Oryzias latipes: one gene and its partners. The protein of the gene in region 1 purifies or fractionates together with the protein of each later gene. This does not show direct contact. Links are inferred from orthologs where the notes say so. Each region holds a gene or a part of one and is shown in the gene's direction. Other genes may lie near its edges.

The links.
Region 2: the proteins of vapa (region 1) and zfyve27 purify together in Homo sapiens (co-immunoprecipitation; 3 studies listed by BioGRID and IntAct, counting the BioPlex papers as one, with this or other methods). This does not show direct contact. The link is inferred for Oryzias latipes from reciprocal best matches to the Homo sapiens genes VAPA and ZFYVE27.
Region 3: the proteins of vapa (region 1) and vdac1 fractionate together in Homo sapiens (co-fractionation; 3 studies listed by BioGRID and IntAct, with this or other methods). This does not show direct contact. The link is inferred for Oryzias latipes from reciprocal best matches to the Homo sapiens genes VAPA and VDAC1.
Region 4: the proteins of vapa (region 1) and miga2 purify together in Homo sapiens (co-immunoprecipitation; 3 studies listed by BioGRID and IntAct, counting the BioPlex papers as one, with this or other methods). This does not show direct contact. The link is inferred for Oryzias latipes from reciprocal best matches to the Homo sapiens genes VAPA and MIGA2.
Region 5: the proteins of vapa (region 1) and rab3gap2 purify together in Homo sapiens (affinity purification with mass spectrometry; 3 studies listed by BioGRID and IntAct, with this or other methods). This does not show direct contact. The link is inferred for Oryzias latipes from reciprocal best matches to the Homo sapiens genes VAPA and RAB3GAP2.
Region 6: the proteins of vapa (region 1) and tyrosine-protein phosphatase non-receptor type 12 purify together in Homo sapiens (affinity purification with mass spectrometry; 3 studies listed by BioGRID and IntAct, counting the BioPlex papers as one, with this or other methods). This does not show direct contact. The link is inferred for Oryzias latipes from reciprocal best matches to the Homo sapiens genes VAPA and PTPN12.
Region 7: the proteins of vapa (region 1) and vps13a purify together in Homo sapiens (co-immunoprecipitation; 3 studies listed by BioGRID and IntAct, counting the BioPlex papers as one, with this or other methods). This does not show direct contact. The link is inferred for Oryzias latipes from reciprocal best matches to the Homo sapiens genes VAPA and VPS13A.

What each region holds. Positions count from the first base shown.
Region 1 is NC_019875.2:4,839,524-4,843,023, forward strand, and holds part of vapa (vesicle-associated membrane protein-associated protein A), read left to right. Parts: intron 1-747; coding exon 748-831; intron 832-2,887; coding exon 2,888-3,019; intron 3,020-3,104; coding exon 3,105-3,239; 3' UTR 3,240-3,500. UniProt on the Homo sapiens protein: Endoplasmic reticulum (ER)-anchored protein that mediates the formation of contact sites between the ER and endosomes via interaction with FFAT motif-containing proteins such as STARD3 or WDR44.
Region 2 is NC_019859.2:28,350,273-28,353,600, reverse strand, and holds part of zfyve27 (protrudin), read left to right. Parts: coding exon 1-64; intron 65-147; coding exon 148-334; intron 335-524; coding exon 525-620; intron 621-782; coding exon 783-895; intron 896-979; coding exon 980-1,098; intron 1,099-2,871; coding exon 2,872-2,943; intron 2,944-3,190; coding exon 3,191-3,211; intron 3,212-3,328. UniProt on the Homo sapiens protein: Key regulator of RAB11-dependent vesicular trafficking during neurite extension through polarized membrane transport. Promotes axonal elongation and contributes to the establishment of neuronal cell polarity.
Region 3 is NC_019872.2:4,165,968-4,169,467, forward strand, and holds part of vdac1 (voltage-dependent anion-selective channel protein 1), read left to right. Parts: intron 1-81; coding exon 82-232; intron 233-2,272; coding exon 2,273-2,330; intron 2,331-3,500. UniProt on the Homo sapiens protein: Non-selective voltage-gated ion channel that mediates the transport of anions and cations through the mitochondrion outer membrane and plasma membrane.
Region 4 is NC_019870.2:7,796,342-7,799,841, forward strand, and holds part of miga2 (mitoguardin 2), read left to right. Parts: intron 1-146; coding exon 147-264; intron 265-849; coding exon 850-956; intron 957-1,084; coding exon 1,085-1,197; intron 1,198-1,387; coding exon 1,388-1,460; intron 1,461-1,985; coding exon 1,986-2,072; intron 2,073-2,170; coding exon 2,171-2,269; intron 2,270-3,128; coding exon 3,129-3,263; intron 3,264-3,500. UniProt on the Homo sapiens protein: Regulator of mitochondrial fusion: acts by forming homo- and heterodimers at the mitochondrial outer membrane and facilitating the formation of PLD6/MitoPLD dimers. May act by regulating phospholipid metabolism via PLD6/MitoPLD.
Region 5 is NC_019880.2:20,252,583-20,256,628, forward strand, and holds the start of rab3gap2 (rab3 GTPase-activating protein non-catalytic subunit), read left to right. Parts: upstream 1-1,246; 5' UTR 1,247-1,503; coding exon 1,504-1,612; intron 1,613-2,772; coding exon 2,773-2,861; intron 2,862-2,947; coding exon 2,948-3,056; intron 3,057-3,134; coding exon 3,135-3,216; intron 3,217-3,810; coding exon 3,811-3,858; intron 3,859-3,934; coding exon 3,935-4,010; intron 4,011-4,046. UniProt on the Homo sapiens protein: Regulatory subunit of the Rab3 GTPase-activating (Rab3GAP) complex composed of RAB3GAP1 and RAB3GAP2, which has GTPase-activating protein (GAP) activity towards various Rab3 subfamily members (RAB3A, RAB3B, RAB3C and RAB3D), RAB5A and RAB43, and guanine nucleotide exchange factor (GEF) activity towards RAB18.
Region 6 is NC_019881.2:13,867,876-13,871,375, forward strand, and holds part of tyrosine-protein phosphatase non-receptor type 12, read left to right. Parts: intron 1-384; coding exon 385-565; intron 566-2,311; coding exon 2,312-3,257; intron 3,258-3,500. UniProt on the Homo sapiens protein: Dephosphorylates a range of proteins, and thereby regulates cellular signaling cascades. Dephosphorylates cellular tyrosine kinases, such as ERBB2 and PTK2B/PYK2, and thereby regulates signaling via ERBB2 and PTK2B/PYK2.
Region 7 is NC_019867.2:11,849,652-11,853,151, reverse strand, and holds part of vps13a (vacuolar protein sorting-associated protein 13A), read left to right. Parts: intron 1-98; coding exon 99-193; intron 194-307; coding exon 308-450; intron 451-616; coding exon 617-818; intron 819-900; coding exon 901-1,015; intron 1,016-1,386; coding exon 1,387-1,523; intron 1,524-1,629; coding exon 1,630-1,762; intron 1,763-2,709; coding exon 2,710-2,827; intron 2,828-3,251; coding exon 3,252-3,396; intron 3,397-3,500. UniProt on the Homo sapiens protein: Mediates the transfer of lipids between membranes at organelle contact sites. Binds phospholipids. Required for the formation or stabilization of ER-mitochondria contact sites which enable transfer of lipids between the ER and mitochondria.

The sequences.
Region 1 (3,500 bases):
GGTCTCATGATTGATGTTTTGCTGCACTCTTAAACATCAGAGAGGCCGTTCAGCTTTCAGTTATGCAGGTCAGTCCTGCCTGAACCGCACGGCGATCAGAAACTGGGCATTAAACGATTTCATGTTTCTTCTTTTCTGCCTAAACTCAGGACAAATTGTTTAAACTCGAGCCGTTTTTCCTCATTTGGCGGTTTGTTCTGTAAAGTGGCAACAAACTGTGTGAGTCTGTCCACCAGAGGGCAGCAAAGGCTGCACCAACCTCTCCATGATGCACAGTTGTTATCATGTGCTAGCAATTCATGAAGTCTGTGTTCAGAACAAAGGTCAGACTGGTTCTGAATAATGTCTGCATCCAAATGGACCATTATAAAGTTCTGTGTTTGGAAAAGTACTTTTAAGAGATTGAGTTAATTTGCTTTATTGACCAAGTACAGCGCATATACAAGGAATTTGGTGTCTTATGCTCTCATAAGGCGAGGCTGAATAAGTGTAGAATGATAAAATAACAAAAATGTAAAGAAAAAAAAAGACAAATATAAGGATGAAATGTGTTTATTACACATTTCTTAACTTGATTCTGTTACAAAAGTACACTGGTTCTTTTTTTTTTAGTGGCAAACTCATCATGTGGTGTGTATCAGTAAGGGAGTGTGCATGTGTGTGTGTGTGTGTGTCTGTGTGCAGATGGGATCCAGCTGCTAGCAGTTTGATTTGATGAATAACATTCTCATTTTTCATTTTCACCAGTGGAAAGAATCTAAACCTGATGACCTCATGGATTCCAAGCTGAGATGCGTCTTTGAGCTGCCTTCTGAAAATGACAAACTGGTGGTAAGACGCTCTGTGGCTCGTTAAATTAGCATATTATTTATAAGTGGAAGCTTCTGTCTTTGCATTTAGGGCATCGAACGTTTGCAGAGGAAACGGGACGTTTCACTCAAAGTGAAGCACAAAGGGGAAAAACTGACCAAAGCATTTCCGTTTGTAATAGAAATGTGAGGAAAATGTACTACAAACAGATCTAATGATGGGTATTTTATAAAGAAGACTACACTTATTATGTATTGGGTTGCTCTAGAACAGTGTTTTTCAACCTTTTCTGAGCCACGGCACACTTTAACCTTAAAAAAAATCCCGCGGCACACCAGCATCAAAAAATTAAAAAAAAAGGAGAAACTCATAGTCTGTATTGATCTACAGCCCCTCCACAGTCTCACATGCATTTTTGAGATAATTGTTGCAGAAAAAGCTGGAAACTGCAGCTGTTTTTTTCTAAAAGATGCAATAAAAGATAAGTTAGAAGATTTAAAAACAGTTTGATGTGTGTTCGTTAGTTTCAAGACGTTTAACAACAGATCTCCGTATGCGCTGTCACTCTCACAACCCAATGCATCATGGGAGATGTAGTGCATAAAACGGCCGGAGATCGCGTCTCTGAGCTTCATTGTTTTGTTCACTTGTTCCAGTCTGATACCGGATTCTGTGGAAAGCTACACCGCTAAAGACGAGCTTTAGCTGGTATTTTTTTTTTAGAACTGAGCGACTTTACGAGCTAAACCGGGAAAGGAAGTGAAGATTTTAACCACTTCTGATTGGTCAGACTGATGACATGTGATTAAGCCTTCAAGAATGATTGGTGGAGACAGTTAAAGGGACGGGACGTTTCCAAAATACAGCCGAAGGTGCAGCTGAATCGCGGTACTGTATCGTCATTCTTATCAAAATGTCTTTAATAAAATAAAATAAACGCAAAGAAAAAGTATTTTACGATCTTTCATATTCCTAACTCCTCAGTGTTTTATCAGGGCCTGTTTGGATGAACACAGAGCTGAAATCCTGGAGATGGAAAATGTTTTTAGATCAGTTAATGAGGGCAATTTCCCACGGCACACTAGTGTGCCGCGGCACACTGGTTGAAAAACACTGCTCTAGAAAGAGGTTTGTCCTGGTATTATCAGTGATAGACAGCGGCTGTTGAGGTCGGGGGGCCAAGTAAACCCGTCCTGAGGATGGAGGGGGTCACTGTTGGAGCAGACCTTCATCATTTTAAAGCTCAAACCTCAGAATGTCGGATCACTCTGAGACGACCGTGTGTTGTGGGTTTCCACGCCATCAGACAGTCATTCGCTTTGTTGCTACATTTTCTGAACCGCAGTGTCTTTGAGCTCTGCAACGGCTTCTTAGAGCAGGTCTGCGGGGATTGGGTGTGAGTGGCGGCTGCTTTCAGCAGGACTCCGTAACCTGTTGTCCCGCCACGGCTGCAGGACAAAGATGCCGCTGCGTCTGTCCCCTGTGAGGGGGGGGGGTTATAGCAGCAGGGGTCATGGTGAAAGAATTTCAAGTTTTAAAGTCAGACACGACTTGCTTGTTTTGCCTTTTTCTTCTTCTGTGTGTTTTTTTTTCTTCCAAGATACAATGGACCATAATGCATTATGTTTTCCATATAGGGGTATCTTAAGTTCAGACATGTTACCGTTTTAGTCCTCAATCAGTAATTCTTTTGAAGTTAGTCTGTATGTTTTATTAAACAAATCTGATCTAAAACAAATTAGCTGTAAGCTTTCATTTTATTTTGTCCAGTTTAAAAAAAACCTTTTTACTACACATGCCCGCTGTGTACGCAGCATTCATTACTGCCAAAAGGGGGGTTTGAACCGCTCCTAGTCAGATTCGTCACCCAGAACCCGTCTGCCATGATGGGACACCCCCCCAGCATCACTCCAGCTCTCCGTTATGGCGCCGACATCACAGCTTCAGTCGAGTTTGATCTCTCATAAGAAGACGTTTTGTTTCCACACGCCGCCTGTCCGGCCAAAGAACGCCACAGCTGGATAAACCCATGAGCAAGGCAGCCTCCTGAGGTAACTTTCTGTACTTTGTCTGGCAGAATGCGGTGGATTCGGTCCCGGTGAAGGCCGAGCCGACCGTGGAGGATTCGGAGCTGAAGAAGATGCAGGAGAAGTGCAGGAGGCTTCAAGCAGAGATCAGCAAGCTGAACGAGGAGAACCGACAAATAAAGGTTGGAACTGAGAGCCGCGCGTTGGCAGAGGGAATTGAACGTGCCGTCATGCGTGTGAAACTGAACGACTTTCGTTTCCTTGCAGGAAGACGGAGTTAGGATGAGAAAAATGCCTCCCCCAGACCACATGATGTCAAACTCAACCGCCTTCCTGCCCTCCCTCCTCGTCGTCATAGCAGCAATTTTCATCGGTTTTTTCTTAGGGAAGTTCATCTTGTAGACCGGGACATGCATGTTGGGCGTCCCCCTCCCCCCTCCCCGCCCTCTCTGCAGCTCCAGATCACACAACAACAAAAAAAGAAGAGCTGGACCAGGTCCTTCTGTTGACTTTGCCATATCATCGGTAGTGTGGCCTCCAGTGAACACGTGTGTACAGCATCATTTGAAGGCCTGGCCTTTTTACAATCACACAGTTTAGTGCGCACAGAGTTAAGACGGGTGACAAAAATCAACCCCCCCAGTTTTTTTCCCCCCCTCCAGT
Region 2 (3,328 bases), on another chromosome or scaffold:
ATGCCGCTTTGCTCTCTGTCCGTTTGGATTTTTCTTAATGTTTTCTTTTGCACTGTGTCTGAAGGTAAGAGGAGACTTACCACTTTGTAGCTGTTCTGTAAAGAAGCAGTGTAACCTCGCCACCTTTGTCTGTGTTTCTGCCCTCAGCGGGTTGGTTCACCTTGAGTATGATGGGGGTATTGCTTCCGGCTGCTCTGGGTTACCTGCAGGACAGGTGTGGCAACAAACGGCCAGAGGATGAGCTCCAAAGGAGGCGCATTTATGCTGTGCAGAGCAGAGACTTGCAGACGGTGCAGATGACCAAGCAGGAGGCCATGATGGAGGTCAAAGAGCTGTAAGAGGAGAGCTGGTTCCTGAACGCGTACACCTGGATTCTGGTTTTATTCTGACCAGATCAATCTGTGACATGGTTATACCAGCATGAAAAACCACTGCAGCCAGCTGTGCATATTAACATCTGGGCACATACTGCTAGTTTCTGCCAGTCTTTCAGTCCCTAACTGTACATGTGATCTCTGGTTTAGGTTGAAGCACCTGGACGACTCGTTGTCATCAGCATGTCAGTCTGCAGAATCGGTTTACAAGCTTCTGTACTGGGACGATTACTCCACCTCATCAAGGTACACACACATACACACACTCTGCTATGAGACTAGAGGGAAGAGAAAACGTTGAAAGTACTGGAACATCTGTTATAATACTACCAAAACATGTTTGTATCTGCAACATAAGGAGCTCCAGTAAGAGTTGGAAGCGTTTTGACTTTTGCTGGAACTCTTTAGGTTCTACGGTGCATTGTTGATGCTGGTATGTCTGCTGTACGTGGCCCCCGTGGGCTGGGTGTTGGCTGCGCTCACCAGTGCCTCCTTCCTGTGGAACAGAGACTTTTGCAGAGGTCAGTCGTCTCAGCCTTAAGAATGCTGAAGAGCAGCTCTCAGTAGCACCAGCGCTCATTTTGTCCCGTGCTTTCTTCTTCCAGTTTTATTGGACCTCCGTAGGCTTTTCCTGCGGGGTCAGAACTCATCCTCAGAAGGTGTGTGCGAAGATCGGGAGTTGGGTAGTCTGATGGAAAGAACCCCCACACCAACCAGTCTGGAGGTAGGCTGTACTTGTGATATCTGTTTGATTCTGGAATTGTTTTCTTTGAGGCTGGACGTTGGCATAGTGGTTAGCGCTCTTGCCTCACAGCAAAAACGCCCCAGAAACACAGAAACAGAACATCAATGGGGAACCTTTCTGTGTGGAGTTTGCATGTTCCCCTCATGCATGCGTGGGTTTTTTCCACAGACTCCGGCTTCCTCCCACTGTCCAAAAACATGCTTCATAGGTTACTCTAGTTACTCTAAATTGTCCATAGGTGTGAGTGTGAGAGTAAATGGGTGTGTGATTGTGGCCCAGCGACCGACTGGCGACCTGTCCAGGGTGTCCCCTGCCTTCGCCCATGGGTGGCTGGGAAGTTCTCTGGCAGCCCAGTGACCCTGAAAGGGCCAAAACAGGTTTAGAAGATGAATGAATGAATGAATAGTTGAGTTTGTTGTGTTTTTGTCTGCTGCAGTCAGACAGAAATCTGTAGCATTAAAAATTGACTGAGCTTTTATTGCTAAACCTGCGTTTTAACTAGGGGTGTGACCATAACCACATCACTGCACTTTTTTTTTTAAGTTTTTTTTTTTTAAGTTCTGCATATGGTGCGTGATTGGAACAATGATAAACACATAAAACACATTCATTTTTGCTGATAATTTACTTTTTCTGCTAGGCCTGTGTTCAGACTTGTTCTCTCTGCACCGCGTCTCTCACCTCTTGGGCTGCGCGCAGCTGTCACTGCCTCTGCGCTGCACGCTCCCTCTACTCACACACACACACACGCAGTTTCAGCAGCACACACACATCCTCATTCTACAACAAGAGTTTCTGTCTCGCGAGGAAATACGACAAATTTGCTGCGTTCTAATTATTCATTTCCATTGTATTCATTTCCATTACAAGCTGCGTGCGTTCTTGAGTGCCGCCCGCCAGAGGATTTGGTGTTGGGGGGGGTTATTACTTTTCTCCTTCACTCTGTAACACCAAACATGAACTTGCACTGTTAGAGTGCATGAATATCACTACATGTTTTGTTTGGGAACTATTTTGTGCAGCGCAACGTTACGTGTCTGTATAACAAAGTCGAAGCCTCCTGCCCCGCGTTCTTCATGGGTGTAAGGCTTCATGTCTACCGGAAAGGTGACAAAGTGTCTGCAGTCTCGTTTATTACTGAGCAATATATAAGATTGTGAGAAGAATACTGCGTTGTAATTGTATTCATTTGCGACATGGCCGTTGGGGGATTTTGTGTGTGTGTGTGGGGGGGGGGGGGGTGATCTGGATGATGCTGCTTTCAGCGAACCTCTGTCTCTCTGTAGCCCATGGGATGACAAAAAAAAGAAAATGAGGGGACCATTTGTTCTGGTTTTAATACAAACTTTAAAAAAAAAAAGCATTGTGAAGTTCAGGAGGAGCACAAACGGCAACTTTGAGCTTCTCCTCCATGAAAACAAGTTTTTTTTTTCAACACAGCACCACCAAAACGGAGTTCCTGATTGGTTAGCAAAAATTATCGCTGAAGATCAGATTTTTTCAACTTTTTGCTGGCTGTTTAAATTGCTCCACAGAATCATTTGCTGTGTCTTTACAGTAACCTAAGATTAAAAACTGTCCTGCTCCCCACTGTGAAAACAGCATGCTCTGTGTTAGTGAGACCCACATGTCACTGACAAATCACCTTTTTTATTTCTTTAAGTGGAGAAGGTTTTCCTCCTGAAGACACATTTTTGCGCCTTTGTGTGACCCTATAATCTTTAAAGGTTGTCTTTCTTCATGTGTTAACAGGACCTAACTCCAGGCAGTGTGGAGGAAGCAGAGGAGGCAGAGCCAGATGAGGAATTTAAGGACCCTATTGAGGTAATCTTTAATCTGCCTGCAAGCTGAAAGCAAATGTTTGAAGTTTCTGTGACTCCTGTAGGTTCCACACCTGAGCACAGGTTACTGTTAGGAGCCGAGCTCCCTGCTGCACCGCTGTTCTTCTTTTCTTTAACTGCAGCTCTTATTTAAATTAGCGTGACTGTGCAGATTGGTGATAAATCTCCCATGACCTTCTGTTGGAGTCAGGTTGTCTTCATGCTTTCTTTTCTATTTTCTGCTGCAACAGGAAAACTCAGTTTTGCTTCAGGTGAGTGACACCCCCCTGTGTAATTAGGAAGCAGGTGCATGTCATCAGTTGTGTAAAAATATGTACATTTCTGTGGATTATAAAAATTTCTGTCAGAAGATTCTCTTCTTCCCATAA
Region 3 (3,500 bases), on another chromosome or scaffold:
TCGTTTATAGCATCTAGTGTTCCCCACAGGGAAAAATGCCTTTTCCTTCTCACTGTTCAACATATTTCTATGTCTCCTCAGAAATGATGGCACAGAGTTTGGTGGATCCATCTACCAGAAGGTGAACGAGCAGCTGGAGACAGCCGTCAACCTGTCCTGGACAGCTGGAAACAGCAACACTCGCTTTGGCATTGCTGCCAAGTATCAGATTGATCCAGACGCATCTTTTTCTGTGAGTAGCCTTTTCTATGGGGGTCTTCACAATGTTGTTGTCTTAGTTACACACTCTACTGCCTCTGCTGACCAACTTGGCATGGTATGTTAGGTCTTCAAGATAGGAATGCAGGGGAACTTCTGCCAAAAGGTTCAAAAGGAAGAGTCTGTCTGGAACAGACGGGCTTCAACTGAATTATCTCCAACTTGAGCCTCGGTTAAATCCCCCTCAGAGCTAATTACTCTGATTGGTTGTTTATAATCTGAACCTGTTTACCCAAAAGTCTTGTAACTGAGTATGTCTGAATTCCTTCACTACTCACTACATAGTGCTCTATTTGGTTGTTCACCATTTTGTGGTGCTTTTACGAATCTACAGTTCCAAAATCGAGTGCCCTAGAAAGTCTCTGCGGAAAACCAGTGTGAATCGATGCTAACTAGATTTGCAAATATACAGACCACAATGCATTGCATATAAACAATTGTTGCACAAAAAAAATTGTATTTAAATGTATTTTTTAATAACGTTTTCATCTTCCCTCTCCACGGACAAATGTAAAGTCTGGGCATCTTTGCTTAGACCAGGGGTGTCAAACATATACTAGATGGTTCAATCTGGCCCAGTCATGAAAAGTAAAAGAATTTAGGATGTTTTAAAAACAAAAACAAAAAAATTCTTAAAATTCTAGTCCATTCCTTTGCCCATTTATGATTTTTTAAAGAAATAACCGAAGTGCGCAATTCCGCCACTAGGGGGAGAAAAGCAAAAGCAAAGCAGGTGAAACAGCATTTCTCAAAAGTGAATCCTAACAACTTTGGGTGTGGGTAAGATGTATTTTGGTTCTCTTAGATTCTCACCGCTGTTACATTGCTATGAGAATGATCAGTAGTGACACAATAATGACCAAAATGTTGTCAAAAAGAAAGAAAGGTTGAAGTGGAGTGCTGAGCTTTCCAGGAATTATTTGTTCATGGAGCCGAATGCAAAACCTGCCTGCTTGTTACGTCATCAACAGGTCACAGGGCTCAAAGAATACAACATTCAGCACATATGAGACTCACCATAAAGAAAATTTTCACCATTTGCAGTTAAGAAAAGAGAAGATTTACCAACTATTAGCTGGACTGAAGACCAACCGTCTGCATTTACTGCAGCGTGACGTCAGTGATGGAGCAGTGACAGACACCTGATTGCAGACAAGTTGGAGCAAACATCCAAACCATTTTCAGATAGTGAACTTATAGAAAAATGCTGGAGGCTGCAGAAGTCTTGTTCCCTAAAAGCTATTGACCTTTTGGCCTCTGTGAATGAATGTGTATTAATAAATAATAGACTACCATGTTGGTTGAGGCATTTTTTCCAAATGACAAAAAAAAACAAAACTGTTATTTTGCTTTTATGTTGCTGGTCTGGCCCACTTGAGATCAGAGAGGTTGAATGTGGCCCCCGAACCAAAATGAGTTTGACACCCCTGGCTTAGACAGCTGCCCCCGTGACCCGGTCCTGGATGAGCAGAAGAAGATGGATGGATGGATTTTTGTTTTTTTTGTTTTTTTTTTATTCTGAAAAGTTTGAGCAGAAAGTCAGTAGAGGAAGAGGGAAAAATGTTTAGTTTTTTTATCTCTGTTTGACCCACTTAACTTTAAACCTACTTGACTTGTAAGTAAAATGTATTCAATTGTTCATGAATGCAGTCATCCATCTTCTACACCTCCTACCTCCTGTTTTGGGTCATGGGGATGCTGGAGCCTATCCCTATTACTTTATTTACAGTTGTGTTGCACCCTGGACAGTTTGCCAGTCCATAGTCCACAAAGAGTCAAACAACTACACACTCGCATTCACAGCTAAGCACCAATTAACATACAAAGAATGCTTTTGAACTGTGGGAGGAAGCCATTAAGCCAGAAACACTCCCCCCCCACGAGGAGAACATGCTAACTTCACATAGAAAGGACCCAGTTGGGATTCAAACCAGGACTCTCTGGCTGTGAGACTGAAGTGTCTATAAAAGCCCGTTCAGCCGCTCTAACGTTGCTAAACTCTGTTCTTTCTCAGGCCAAGGTGAACAATTCCAGCCTCGTGGGTCTGGGCTACACTCAGACTCTGAAGCCAGGTGAGTGAAGCTACTTTCTAGTTTGGGAATTTTCTACCTGAATAGGAAAAATTAGGGCTGCACCATATGAGGAAAACTCGCGATATTGGTGATTAATATTGCGATGACGATATACCGTAATTTCCGGACTATAAGCCGCTACTTTTTTCCTGCGCTTACAGCCTTGCGGCTTATTCAGTGACGCGGCTAATTTATGGATTTAATTGGCGGCCGCCATGTACGTACTTTCGAACTCAGTGAATAGTTTGAATTCTAGCACAAGGCATTTATATTCAACACACCTCTTAGCAGCCAAACAGCATGGACTTGACTTCAGGTCTTAGACACTTCAGTCATGGTTCAACAAAACGAAACACGCATGCCCGGCCGCATCCCAGAATCCTTTGGGGCCATTAGACCCAACGTGCACGTGATCGCCGCTACATTATGATGAAGCTTTCAAGTTAAAAGCAATCGTTAAAAGCAGCGTAAAAAAGTCCACCGTCACCAACGGGTTTGGAAAAGCCGGTTTGCTGCATGACGGAGAGAACAGCGCATGGAGTGAATTTACACTCCATTTACGGTTTCTAAGGAAACCGTAAAAGCGGAATTTTGCTTTGAAAAACTCTCCTGCTGATTGAGCTGCGGGGCCGATGGCAGTCTGATGGCTCCCACACGTAACAACGCATCCGCCCCTCATACACAAAACGTACAGTATTAAGTCCGATTGCTTTGCACAGAAACTATTTGCTCCTTACACCGGCGCAACGGGGACGAAGTGCTCCTCCTTGAAGCCGCCCTGGCCAGAGGTGTCGGAGTAGATAGGAAGGGGAGACAAGGAGCGCGCGGGGCGGGAGCGGAGCGCAGAGGCTTCTGAATTCTGACGCACGCGCCGCACTGAGGCGCGCGTATCGCGCTGAGGCGCGCGCTTTTCAGTCGTCGCTGCTTTATTTTACTAGTGTGTTTTTTAACCAGTCCTGTTACTCCCATAACGCTGCGCGACACAAGCGGAAGGAGAGCTGTACCCGTTCACCCCTCCATGCACTGCTGATACTCATTCTTAAACACGTACAACAGTATGGCGAGCCGGGCATTGGCCCCGCCTTTAGCCCCTAAGACTCATGGGAAATGTGGAATCGCGGATGTAAATTTCCTCATCATAACTGAGGGATGTAATGTTGATTATATGGT
Region 4 (3,500 bases), on another chromosome or scaffold:
GTAGAATGAACATAAGTCCTTCATTTTCTTGTGAATATTCAATTCTATTTGAATTTTAGTTGCCCAACGCTGAATTGTGTACCTTAAAGATTGTTGTTTTGCCTAAAATTTCTACAGAACAGGTTTTTTTTTTTTTCTGGTTTTAGGGGGAAACGCATGATAAAGTGTTAGCTGAGAAGCTGGAGTCGCTGCTGCATAGGGCGTACCACCTACAGGAGGATTTCGGCAGCGGCCTCCCTGCAGACAGTGTGCTGGCAGACTTCGGTGAGACTCAATTTGAAAATGCGATTGTAGAAGATTGTCTTTTTTTTTACCTTATTAAAAATAACTCAAACAAAAAAGTTAATATTATTGATAAAGTCAACGACTGTTGTCTCATTCGAGGATCACAAAAGCTGTGTCCAAATTCCCACCCTAACTCCTAACTACTAAAAAACTATGTAGTGCCCTGGATTTTGAAAGCAATTTGGATACCATGCTCACTACTTTTTTTTTTTTTTCTTTAAACGGCGAATATGACGTGATTGATTTTATGAAGTTAAACTCTGATTGGTGTGAGCGTTTTGCGACGGTCATTTATGAATCCACTGGGTTCTAAAGATGATAACGTTTATATTTTATTAAAAAAAATACATTTAAATTATTTATTTTTTGGCAGAAATTGTTCAAACGCAATGCATTGTGGTCTATATTTGCGGATCTAGTGAGGATCAATGCACAGACCTCTGGGAAATTTCTAGGCTACTCGATTAGGGAATTGTAGATCATCACTACTAAATGGCGAACGCACTATAATGCAGCATTTAGTGAGTAGGGAAGGAATTCAGACACAGCTGTGTTTTTTCTTAGCGAGTGAAGGAACTCTTATCCTGCCTCAAGTGGAGAGTTTGTACAGACTGCAAGATGACGACGCCACCACCATTAGCTCTGATGACTCCTTTTTCTCAGCGGCAGAGGTGATTTATTTGCTCTTAAGATGGTCAGAAAATAGTAATGGTACACCAAGACTTGCCATTCTGTATATTTGCACTGCTGGATATTGAAGTCTGCTGCACTCCTCTAAAATCAATGTTTTTCTATGCAGATCTTTGATAAAATGACTCTAGAGGAGCTCTACCAGCCAATAAGGCCGGCAGCTCTTTATGAAGAAGCCTTAACTCTGGTCCGCGAAGGCAAAGTCCCCTTTAGATCCATGAGGTGATTATGATACTGATTGCAGTTTTGGTGCTTAAAGTAGCTGAATTTCATGTGCTTATATAGTGTGTTTGATTTTAATAATGTATTTTTTTTTTCAAATTTGAGGCCACTGCCTCTAAGGGGTCAAATATGTTCTTATATTTTTTTCTTGATTAGGTTTAGTCTCTCAAACTCTTTTTCTCTTTTACAGAACTGAATTGCTTGAATGTTACGGTGACCAAGACTTCCTCGCCAAGCTCCACTGTGTGAGACAAGCATTCCAGGTCTGTTCTTTGTGTAAAAAGAAAAAACATCTCTTTAAATGTGTGTGAGTGATTTGCAGAAGGTTTGAAACCCAAATTACCGTACAAGGAATTTTTTTATTTTTACTAATCTTTATCGTGATGCTTTCTTTTTTCTCCTTCACAGTAACGTAAATGTTAACAGCTTTTCTCTTAAGGCCAAAAACAGATGGTTGTTTGGCAGAACTTAAGAGTTTGCTGATTCAAATCTCAGTTTGCAGCTTTGTGCTCAGGCAAAAAAGCTCCAAGAAAGGCGACCTTTTAACATGCTGTCATTCAGTATAATGAAAGTTATTGTTTCTTAGCTACATTTAATCCTGTCTTTTGCATCCTTTTCTCTGAGGTAATCTATATTTATGTCCTCCCTCATTACATCCATGCATCTGCTCTTTGGGCCGGCTCTAACCTGTAGACATGTCCAAACCGCCTCAGTCTGGTTCATCTCCAAACATTCAACTATTTTTAAAACAGAATAAATAAAACAAATTGCTTTTTCTTTCTTTTTAGGTTCTATTGTTAGACGAAAGTCACCGCACATTTTTCATGGAGTTGGGGAAACAGATGATTGTCGGGTTAATGGTAAAGGCAAACAAGGTAAGTCGAGGGAATGGGGATGTGCAGTTTTTACTTTATTTAGATAGAGGGGCATGCTCTTTAAGCATGAACTAATTTATATGTTTATTCTTAATCAGAGCCCCAAAGCTTTTCTGGAAAGCTATGAAGACATGCTGCTTTACACTCAGAGGGAGGAAACGTGGCCCGTTACAAAGATGGAACTGGACGGTCGAGGGGTGAGTTCTGTTCAAGTCCGATGCTTTCTTTACTGACCTTTAACAAAGGAAGTAACATCTGGAATCGTTGGGAAATTCGGTTTCATCTTCTCTGACCTGAAAAGACGTGCTGCTCAAACGGTGACATTTATACAAATGATGGGCAAAGGTCTGGCTTTTGGAGTTCCACTCTCACACACTCAAATGTATGCTGTCGTGCAGAAACGATGCTCTTCATTGTTGAATAATCTTTAATAAGATCCTTTACTTTGCTGGAGCCTCAGTTACTTCACTTGTTTACAGTAGAATCGGGTGAAAATGTTAGTGTGGGAGTGACTGAAACCGACTGTATTTAGTTTAGTTTGAAAGATAACGAGTTTAACCAACTGTCTGCAACACATTGAGAGGCCGATTATCAAACCAGTGTTGTGTTTAATGATAAAAACCTGCTTGAAAGGCAGCAAATGTCAGAAATTTTTGATATTTTAAAGACCCACTCTGATTAAAAATTGTGTTTTTGTCTTTTAAGCATGTTTTTGTGGCATTTTCCAGATGTTGGAGGACATATATTAAGGAAATTAAGCTCAAAATTGCATTTCTGAGTATTTCTAAATTCAAATTGTTGTGAATCAGGGGGGAAAAAAAGAAAGTATTTGTGACGGAGACAGGCTTCCAGCTCCACTCCATTTTGATGCATCCATTTGCAGACACATGGATCCATGTGTCATTTTAGGTCCTAGAAAATAACAGTTTAAAAAAATAATAATTCTAAAATCGGCAAAATCTTAATTAAAAGAACACGCTTTTAAAATAGATGAAAAGATGATCAGAGTGGATCTTTAAGTCTGATAAAACTGAGATGCTCCTGTGTTCTCTGCAGGTGGTGTGCATGAACTTTTTCGACATAGTGTTAGATTTCATCTTAATGGATGCATTCGAAGACCTCGAGAGCCCTCCCTCCTCTGTCGTGGCTGTACTGAGGAACCGCTGGCTCTCCGACAGCTTCAAAGAGACGGTAAGTTGATGAAACATCAACACAAGTCAGAAATCTTTTTCTTTCTTTTTTTATTATTAGTACTTATTAACAGGGATGTCCTAGGTCAGTGTTTTTCAACCTTTTTTGAGCCAAGGCACACTTTGTCCTTGACAAAAATCCCACGACACACCAGCATCCAAAAATTAAAGAAAGGAGAAATTTAGTCTGTATTGATGTACAGTCCCTCCACAATCTCACATGCATTTTTGTGAGAAT
Region 5 (4,046 bases), on another chromosome or scaffold:
TGGGGGGATGCTCAGAACTTCCAGGTGGTGGTGGGGTGCTTGTCTGGGGCTGGGGGGAGGGGGCTCTCCAGTGTGTGGAGTCCAATGCTGGGTCCACTGATGTGCAGAGAGGGCTATTCTTCTGGCTGGGCTGGAGCTTGCATTCTCCGTGCCCCCCTGCTCTTTGGCGTTGGGGACCCCTGTGGCGGTCCTGTGGCCCCTGTGGGGACCCCCCTGGTCGAGGGTGGTTTACTGGATCTGGATCTGCTATGTGTCTGGTGAGCCCTGGCTGCCACTGTTTCTGCAGTAGGGGTCTTGGTGTGGGGGTAGCCGGGTGCTCCACTCTTTTAGCATTCCATCATCCACCACCGTAGAACAAAAACACTCACCTGAGCACAGGTGTCAGCTCACGTTTGCACCTTTGTAAATGTGTTTTTTTATACTATGATGGGTTCCAGTAGTACAAACTACATCTAGTTTTTAAATATATGCAGAAATGTTGCTAAAAACGCGAGGACTTCTGTGAATAATGTTTCTATGTAGGGTAGTGGAAGGACTTCTGCTTGAACAATCGAGACCCAGAAGAGGAAAAAAAAAAGGCTCAAAGCCATTAAATGATCAGGAGGAGATTGTCTATGTAAGTGTACTACAGAGTAAACTTAGTCTGTACTTAAAGTTAGGCAGTATTCTTGAAGTTTACTTTTTAAATTATGGAAAATAAAAATGTTCCAATTTAGAAATATTTCGTTAGTATACTTCCTACATACCAGATGCAAGTACTGTAGTCTACTTACTATATTCAATCACTGTGTACTTAGTCAAATAAACTTCAGGTGTACGACTTTTGGTAAAGTGTATATCTGCAAACATTTTACAATCTCTGATGATTTTTTTCTTTTTTGATTTTATTGCATAGTAATGTATTTGCGTCCTTCATTTAAACTTGTCCTGTCCGACAGCTGAGCAAGCAGATCAGAGCTGAAGGCTCTGCATTAATTATTTATCATGGATCTGGATCCTTCTGTGAAGAATTGAAGGGAAATAAAACATTTGAACGCATTTTAATGTCAAAAAGCTTTGCATGCAGCAAACTCCAAAGTGTTGATGGAGCGACCTCAGCTGAGAGAAAAACACCACTGGAACATATTAAGTGTAGAAGAATTACGATCACATCTGATTTCAAATGAAAAAAGTTTAACTCAGCTTTTTTTGCTGATAAAAACAAGAGGCTCCTGCGATGCTTTTATTTTGAAATTCCAAATGGATCCCTGACCCGGAAACACAACAGCAGCAGTGTTCCGATGCTAACGATGTGTCATCAACACAACAGGCGAGAGTAAACCCCTGTCCTGGTCGCTGAAGGAGCTGCTCGACGGGACTTGGACGTTTGTCGTCGGGAATCACAAAGTTCACGCGCCGCCGGACGTGACCGGAAGTCTTCTGCCGCGCCTTTAGCAGGAACTAAGGCTAACTGTCCGACCCCTCGTCTGCTGGATTCCCGACGGGATCGGCCGGGCGGCAGGGATGTCTTGCAGCTTGCTGGAGTTTGGTCGGCTCCAAGAGCTCAGAACCGTTCGGGACTTTTTGTTCCAGGGTCAGAAACCCGATGCGGCGGAGGAGCGGAACCAAGCAGGTGAAGTGTTTGCCTCCCGCCGCACATTTCTAGCCGGCAGGTTACATATAATGTGGCCATGATGATGACGGGCATTTTTTTGTGAAACAGACTCCTCACATTCATGTTTCCGGTTTCCCAGTAAAGTTATTGTGAGAGATGCAGCTTGGATGTCATATCTGGACCATGAACGATCATAACTAGTAGTTTTTCATTACATTGTGTTTATGTATTTAGTTAGCTGAAGTCACTGACTCAGTGGCAAGGCTCTGAGAGTGGACGAAGTCCTCCCTGAGTACCTCAAGTGTCTGGATGCTGGGAGTGTCTTGGCTGACACGTCTCTCTGCAGCATCGCGTGGCATTTGGGAACTGTACCACTGGACTGGTTTTCCTCTCGGACATTCATTCATACTGTGTGATGGTAACTACTGATGTAGCCACAGCTGCCCTGGGGCAGACTGACGGGGGTGTGGCTGCCAGTTTGCGCTTACGGCCCCTCTGACCATCACCTGGACATTCATGCATGCACATTCACACACCAGGGAGGGTGAAGGGTCTTGCCCAAGGACACAGTGGCAGTTAACTGAGGGGGACGGGGTTTAAACCACTGACCCTTCCATCTCCGTCTGACCTCCTCAACCACCTAAGCCACTGCCGCCCCAGAACACTCAACACTAAGGTTGTGTCTGAATGCCTTCACTATATAGTGCGTTCGCTGTTTTGTAGTGCTGTCCGAATCTACAATTCCAAAATTCAGTGCCCTAGAAATTTCCCAGAAGTCTCTGCGGAAAACCAGTGTGCATTGATGCTCACTAGATTGGCGAATATAGACCACAATGCGTTGTGTCTGAACTATTTTTGCTTTCAAAAATTGTATTTTTCAAATAAACCATCAACGTTTTTATCTCCAGAACTCAGTGGATTCATAAATAATCGTCACAAAACGTTCAAATAAATTAGACTTTCACTTCACTAAAATTCAGAGCATTAGATAGTCCCACACTAAATAGTTTTTAGTAGTTAGGGGTTAGGATGGGAATTCGGACACAGCTTAAGTCACTTCCTTTCTGTTTATGTCAGTAGTATCTTTCCCTTCTGTTTATGACAGAGAAATAAACAGACAAAACCTCTAAGCTCTATGTAGACATCCTCTTCCTGACGTTTGTTGGAATCTTCTCCAGATAATGAACTTTCCTGGGACACCTCAGATTGGGAATCAGCATGGGACACTGAGAATAATAAAGTGCAGGAAGGTGCTTCTTCCACACAGGTCTGGCCTTTTGCTTTATTCTATTATTAATGTTTTAGGATTTGCTATGGTGACGCACAGAGGTGAAGCTTGTCTCTGCTCTGCAGGACTGTGCAGCACCAAGTGGACCCTGGCTCCATGACTGCATCGTTTCCCTCTCTCCCTGCTCTGACCTGCTGGTGGTGGCCCGGGAACAGAAGGCGGTTTTCCTCTCGGGTCAGACCTTACACACAGTCTGCCTGACTCTTAGCAGTAGTTTTTATTTGAAAGGTGTCTCTGTGTTTGTCTTTGCAGCCAAGTGGCGTACAGATGAGAGTGGCAGAGAGGAGATGACCCTGGGGCTTTCTTGGAGTGGAACGCTCAGCACTGAGGAGGGGTCCGATTGTTTATGTTCTTAGTAGTTTAGCTTCTCCATCATGTCAAAGACCAACCCAAGCTTTAGTTTGGCTCTCAGTTGAAGCGGCTCTTTGACTGATGGACTCTGTTATGTACTGTAGTCCTGTTCTAATCTCACTGTATTTACAAAATAAGCAAAGCTACGATTAAGGAGGTAAAGAGATTTTTACATTATTTTAACTTAAAAAGAGATTAAACTTATGCCTGTTGTCCTCTTGTTCTACAGAGTTGATATCTTTAAAAGGCATTAAGGGTTTTCTAAATTATTATTTGTCATTACTTAATCTCCCTCCTTAACCACATTCTCTAATTATTATTCACTTTGTGTTCCTACCTGCAGCAGAAATTTATTGGATATGAAATGAAAAACAGAAATATTGGGCGTGCAAAATGATGCAGTCCCAGTTATTTTACATCTCAAGTTTTCTTTTATCTTTATGTTTGTATTCATTAGTTTATTAAACTAGTTTTTAACAATTTTATCGTGTTTATCTTTTATTGTACAGTGGCATTTGTGTTAAAGTGCTTTATAAATAAAGATGCTGATGAAGTTAAAACGGGTTTTTCTCTCCAGAGAGTGTGTGAGCAGTGCAATAGCAATTCCGCTGGCAAGCCAGAAGAGGTCAGAGCAAATATGTCGACTGTTGACATAAAAAGTGTGTATTTGTGTGTACTTACCTTGTTGTTGTTGTGTGTAGAAGCTCCACTGGGCGGCCGGACTGGACCTGTGTTGTAGTCGGCTTCACTTCTGGTTATGTTCGCTTTTACACAGAGGTACCTGTTGGACTTAGGCTGGTTTTCTGGCTGCAT
Region 6 (3,500 bases), on another chromosome or scaffold:
GTAAATATGTTTTTGCGTTTTTGTTACAGTGACAACAAACGTGTAAAATTGAAACACAATTTTTGCATCAGTCTGTGTGAAGGAAAACCTAAAAATATTGGAACAATTGTTTGTTTAAATCATATTTTATATATAATGTTTTAATGTGAAATATAGACATACATCATATTTCTATGATAAAGCTCCATTTCGTTTATTTACTTGGACCAACCTTTCTCAGATTATTGGTTGCAAACTTGAGATATTTACTTTACTAGAAACTATTGTCTTGTTGTGTAACGTCTCTCTGTTTCAACGTGAGCGTGAACTTTTCTCATAAAAAAAATCCTCATTTCAGCTTAATTCTCCTGTTTCCTGATCAAATTTTTCAATCTTTTTGTTTAGTTTCCAGGTTGAGGGCGATGTAAAAGAAGAGATCCTCCAGCCTCCTGAGCCTCACCCAGTCCCCCCGATCCTCACCCCGTCTCCTCCGTCAGCTTTCCCCACGGTCACCAACGTACGTCAGGACAATGATCGCTACCACCCTAAACCGGTCATGCATGTCCTACAGTCCAACGTCACACAGGTGAGGTGGATTTTTGAAGTTCGACCTTTTATCATTTAATATGTTAACACTTTGGTTGAACTAAAACCAGAATCTGAGGATTTATTTCAATGGTCTGCAGAGACTTTGCTGCTCTTGCATCATAAAGTGCAAATAATATGAAGGTTGCAAATGCTGCAAATCTCCAACAGGTATAAGAGAAACTTTGCTGAAAATATCTTCATGGAATCATAAATTAGCATTAGGCTAATATTAATTATTATCCTCGCACAAAACCAAGCACTTCTTTTAAAGAATTGGGGGTTTCTGGGGGATTTCAAGTAAGTTTTAATGTTTTACTCAAGTTTAAGCAACGACTTTAGATGCTTTTTGCGTTAGAATTTAGAAAATAATAATTACCTGGTTATAAATGATACATAAAAGTTATGTTAATAAGATGTATATTTTTGGAAATCTTTGTTACCATATAATCTACATTTTACGTCACAAATTGTGCCTGTTTATGGGATCATTTGCAAAATAGCAGTCAAAAATGTCAAAGATTAGCTCAATTTGGGGTTATAACAAATATCTGAATACTCAGATATTCATGATCTGTTCCGGAAAGTACAAGTAGGATTATTTGCGATGTCAGAGATTGTTGAACTATCCAAACAACACAAGGACGAAGGCAAATGATGTTGTGAAGATTCTGGCTGAAGATGGTATGAATGTTTCATTATAAACAGTGAAATGAGTACTGTACAGACACGGGGTGACAGGCTACTCTGCCGGGAAGAAGCCATTACTCAAAAAAAACACAGAAAAGCAAATAAAGACTTTCATTTTTGGAGACACGTCCTGTGGTCTGACGAAACTAAAATTGGACTGTTTGGCCACAATGACCATCGCTATGTTTGGAGGAAAAAGAGAGAAGCTTGCAGGCCTCAGAACACCATCCCAAGTGTGAAACATGGGGGTGGTAGCATCATGTTGTGGGTTTGTGTTGCTGCTGGATAGACTGGTGCACTTCCCAAAATAGATGTGGAAATATTGAAGCAGCATCTGAAGACATGAGCCGGAAAGTTGAAGCTGGGCCGCAAACGGATCTTCCCTATGGACAACGACCCGAAACATACCGCCAAAATGGTTACAAAGTGGCTGAAGGATAACAAAGTCAATGTTTTGGCCTGGCCATCACAGAGCCCGGATCTTATTCCTATTAAACATTTATGATCAGAGCTGAAAAGGCGTGTACATCCAAGGCGACCTACAGTCACACCAGTTCTGTCAGGAGGAAAGGGCCAAAAATTTCTACCGAATCTTGTGGAAAGAAATCCAAGACATTTGACCCAAACACTGCAGTTTAAAGGCAATATTACCAAATACTTAATAAATGAATGTAAACTTTGATAAAAGTAATTAAAACTTGTCTGAAAAAAAACCCTAGTGCCATAATTCTGAAATTCAGCAAATGGAAATAATTTTGTTAATTGTAACTGACCCAAAACAGGAAATGTTTACTTTGATTTCATGTCTGATGGTGAGAAAAAAAAAGGATATGTGTGTTTATATGTGGTGTATGTAAACTTCTGGTTTCTACTGTACATATAGCAACTATTCAGACAGAAAGATTAAAAAGTAAGAACCATGGTTGGATTTGTGAATTATAGATCCTTGAATCAAATCAGATCGCCATAAAGTAACAATCCATGGCTCTAGCACAAGTGTTCTTTTATGGTTGCAAAAACTGTTTTTTTTATTATTTTTTAATGTTTTTTTTTGCAGAATAAAGACAAAGATGGGCTTCAGAACAAATCTGACCCAGTCAAACAGACCAGTCCCTCAGAGCAGAAAGATGTATTAAGCCGAAACCAACAAACTCAGGTCTCAAATGTAGACCTCAATGACAACTACAACAACAAGTTCTCCTCCACGTCTACAAAGCCAGAATTTGGTCAAAGCCAGACTCAGGCGCCGTCCTCACCCCTCTCCCCGGTCATTGAATGTCCCGGCATTCCTCGGATCGAGAGGAAGCTCAGCATTGAGATTAAAAAGGTGCCGCTGCAGGAAGGACCTCGGAGCTTTGACACGTCTTCTTCTGTCGGAGGAGCAGGCGGACAGGGAGCCAGCTCCTGCAGCAGCGGCTGCATGCTGCAAAGAGGCCAGGCCTTCAAGTCTCGCTCCACTCAGTCCCTACTGACGTCGAGCTCCTCCCTGTCGGAGGATTCGGGCACAGAAGGAGGAGCGCTTGGATGTTTGGAGAGTCACACCGAGGGAAGCGCTTTACCCAGGCCAAACCACCTCCCTGTGAAGAGCGGAGATAAGGTGGAGCCGCGCGAATGCAGCAGAGCGGACGTGAAAACCGGACACGCGTCGTGGACGGAGCCCTGCAACAGCCCCGAGAAACTATTCCCTAAAACCTCTTCTTCCTCTTCCTCTTCAGACCGAGTTGCTCCCTCTTCGTCCTCCTCCTCCCACCTCTCCTCTTCCTCTTCCTCCTCTTCTTCGTCCACCCCTGTTAGGACTGCCATAAGTTTCACCAACCCCTTACATTCGGATAACTCGGAGGAGGATGGGAACGAAGTGATGTCCTGTGAAAAGGAGGCTCTTCATACAAGCGTATCCATGGTGACCACCGTGGTGTCCTCGTCGCTTCTTCAACCAGTCAGAAAGGCGTTGCCTGTCTCTATCGTGGGCCACAGCATTTCATCGCCCACTGCAGCCACTGCAAGTATGTCAAAATGTCACTTTCAGGGAAAGCTAAAACGTTTACTGCCGGTCATTTTTAGGGCAAATGTTTTTTATTTCAATTAAGTTTTAGTTTTAGTTAAGGCACGGAGATGACTTTGTTTTATCATTGCTATAGAAGCACATGGTAGGGCTATTTCCTTAAATCTTAAGCTATCAGCACCCTCATGTCAGAGCACTTAAGGAAAAGGGAAAAAAAAGGCATTTTAACATTTTCTGTCAGAAA
Region 7 (3,500 bases), on another chromosome or scaffold:
TATAATATCGGCGATGTTCTTTTCCAGAAAAAGTTCCATGTTTTTAATTGCAGCATTTAACAGTTTTGTTTTACTTCTGTGTCACTTTTATCTCTCAGGTTTTGATGGGCTCTTGACTCCTGCAGAGAAAGCCAAACTCTACACTGCCATTGGCTACAGTGAAACTGCTGCTAATCCTAATTTGCCTAAGAAAGTAGGTGTCTTCTGGTCAACTAGCAGTAAATGAAATTTTTTTAAACAAAATATAAAAGCTTCTTGAAGTTAATGGACTTTACATTGATAATTCTCTAATGTAAATGATTTTTAGTTTGAGGACATGAAGGTCAATTTCCACATGGAAAGACTGTGTGTATCCATTAAAGATGAGAAAGACAAAAATGAGGTCATGAGGCTGACTGTCGGGGAGCTCAAGTCTACACTCACTCAAAGACCTGGAGCACAAGCCATCAAGTTAGTTTAATCTCTGTTTGACCGTTTTCTTTTGGAATGATGATGATTCTGCTGCAGACACAGAGTATCTGAGTTGACTTTACATGGTATAGAAATGACCAATGGCTACTTTATGTGCCCTTATCTGGCATTGACACTTACAGATTTCTCCTTCATGTCCTTGTAGGATAACAGCTGAGCTTAGTTTGTTTGAAGTCACTGGTCTGGCCAGTAACAGGCCTGCACCAACGCTCCTTTCATCAAGGAGGGCAGCCACAAAAACAGGGACACCTCTTCTCATCATTCTGTTTGAAACCAATCCACTGGATGAAAGTGCTGACCAGAGATTTCATGTCTCATCTCAGCCACTGGAAATCATCTATGATGCTGTAAGTGGTATCCTCCATTGCTAAATGTGTGTAAATGAATCCCTCATAGGGATCTAAATGAAAACTTTGTTGGTTTGTGCAGTTAACTGTAAACAGTGTGTCAGAATTCTTCAGACTTCCAGATGACGTGCAGCTTAATGAGTTTACCAAGGCAACACTAATGAAACTGGAGCAATTTAAAGATCGCACAGCCACAGGTGAGTGGAATCTACAACTTTTATCCGATCTAATGTTCATTATATTGGCTTTCAATCCTTCCACCATCTACACCTTTTCTATCCCATTTTGGATCTGTGGTAGATTAAAGCCAACACTCTGTTTCTAAATTTGAGGCAAACTACAAGAGAAAAAAAGAGTAATAGGAAGAAACAAATTTTTACCTTTTTTGGTTATGTTTACTGAGATTGTTAAACCTAATATTGATCAAACCAAATTAAAAGAAAGCTAACTATGTCCCAACATGTACATCTTTAGAATTCAAAGCAGGTGTATATGGGTTTACTTTTTAGTTCATGTTATATGTTTCCTCCTGCAGGTAAAAACAATTAATTCTTATTTTGTTCTGCAGGTTTACTGTATGTGATTGAAACACAGAAAGTTCTCGACCTGAAGGTAAACCTCATGGCCTCCTACGTCATCGTTCCACAGAGTGGCTTTTACGATGGAACACAGAACATTTTGCTGTTGGATCTTGGTCATTTTAAGGTTCGAAAGCTTGAAGTTCAATAAATCGCATCCAGTTGGAACAAGAATTACTTTTTATATACTGAGTGATGTTTTAATATTTCTGCATTTGTTTCCACCTCTTCAGATGGCCAGTCAGAGCAAAGAGAATTTGCCACAGCTGACCCCATGTCCCAGTAACATTGAAGCGATCATGTCCAGAGCATACGACACCTTTGATGTGCAGCTCAGCTCCCTCCAATTCCTGTACAGCAAACCAGGTGAGCAATACGTAAGATGAGAACAGTCATGTATGTTAATATATTTTATAAGCTCATTTTCTTAATATAACCACTTAATACCGCATTTTCTTCTGAAAATGGAATACACTTTTCCCTAACCCAAATGGCAAACATCTCAAATTGACAAATTTACATGTGAATTCTCTCGCAGAAGGTATCTCCGCTTCTTCAACTGTAGACATGCCACCCACATAAACTTTTTATAAAAAGGACACATGAGATCTGATGCCCTGAACTCGGCTCTTTTATGCTCGCTTGCTTTCCACAACTGGGAAAAAGGAGCTAAACTTAAAGTTAAAGACTAAACACCGACATACATTCGTGAACGGATCTTTCATCTATGGTTACAGGCATTGTACTTTAACATCATTGATCACTTAAGTTGTGGTGAAGCTCAGGCAGAAATTGTGGTAATGTTGCTCACAAACAACTTTTCAATTTCCCAGTCATTGAAAAGAAAAATTAACAACTTGCAGCCATCCCAAATGAAAAATGACTTTTTTTCAGTTTTCTACCAAGAAATAAGTCGTCATCTTGAAAAAATGAGCTGAAATAAATCATGAGCAGACATGGCTGTTCTTATCTTTAGTAGTACTAAAATAGAGGAGCTCAAATGTAAATGAGATGCTAAAAAAATAAATTCTCTTTTTCTAAATTTGTTTTCAAAATAATTTTCTCCATCAGCAAAGATGGCTGATGGAGAAAACTTGAAGGTTTTTGGTGATCCAGGTGGAGTCGCCTGAGACCTTATTGATGGAATTGGACTTTTTTTCGTAGAGTGGGAATTTTTTTTTTTCATTCAAGGAACTTCTTTAGCCTGCTGAAAAGAGATCTTAATATGTCATCTCAGATGTATAATCCAAAAATATTTTGAATTTGTCTTTATGAAAAGTTTATCCTTAGGATAATGAAACTGTTATCCATAGGTGGGGACTGGAAAAAGGCTCGTAAACAAAAGCAATCACCGCTCCACATCCTGGAGCCCGTCGACGTGAATGTGGATTTCAGCAGAGCGATGGTTGTCAAAGATTCCCGCATGCCAAAGTCAGTTTTCATTTATACTGGTTAAAAAAATAGGTATTTAATTTAGCATTAAAGAACTCATGCAAGTACTATTAAAAATCACGCTATATATAGCTTTTTAGAGCACAACACTGTTAAGTATGTAAGACACAGAGCATGTTACCTGTTGTTTCTTTGTACCTAATTGGGAGCAATTTGACCCAAAGCCATAACCTAATCTCAGATCACTTTTCCACAATGTTTAATATTTTTAACACTCCCTGTAGAACAAGCTTTGTAATCGGATGTTTCTAAATAGGCTAAGCAGATATTTTGTTATTAAAGTTATTTTTAGTCATTAAAAATGTAAGTCACTACTATTATTTTGCAGAGAGAAACTTTTATCATATATTAGTCTTCTCATGCCATGATGAATCATCTTTTGCCACTTTTTTTTTTTTTGTAGATATAAAGTACTTGGAGAACTTCCTCTGCTGTCCCTCAGAATTTCTGATATTAAACTTCGAAATGTTCTGGAGCTGGTTGATAGTATCCCACTGCCTGAGAGCAAACCCTCTGCTCACAACACTGCTCCATCTTCCACTCAAAAGGTAAGACCTGCTTTGTCTCAAAACAGAAAATCACTAAAGTTCTCTGAATTTGACCTCACAGTTGCTAAATTTAAATTGTGTTAAATCCAACTTTGTCATTTGTT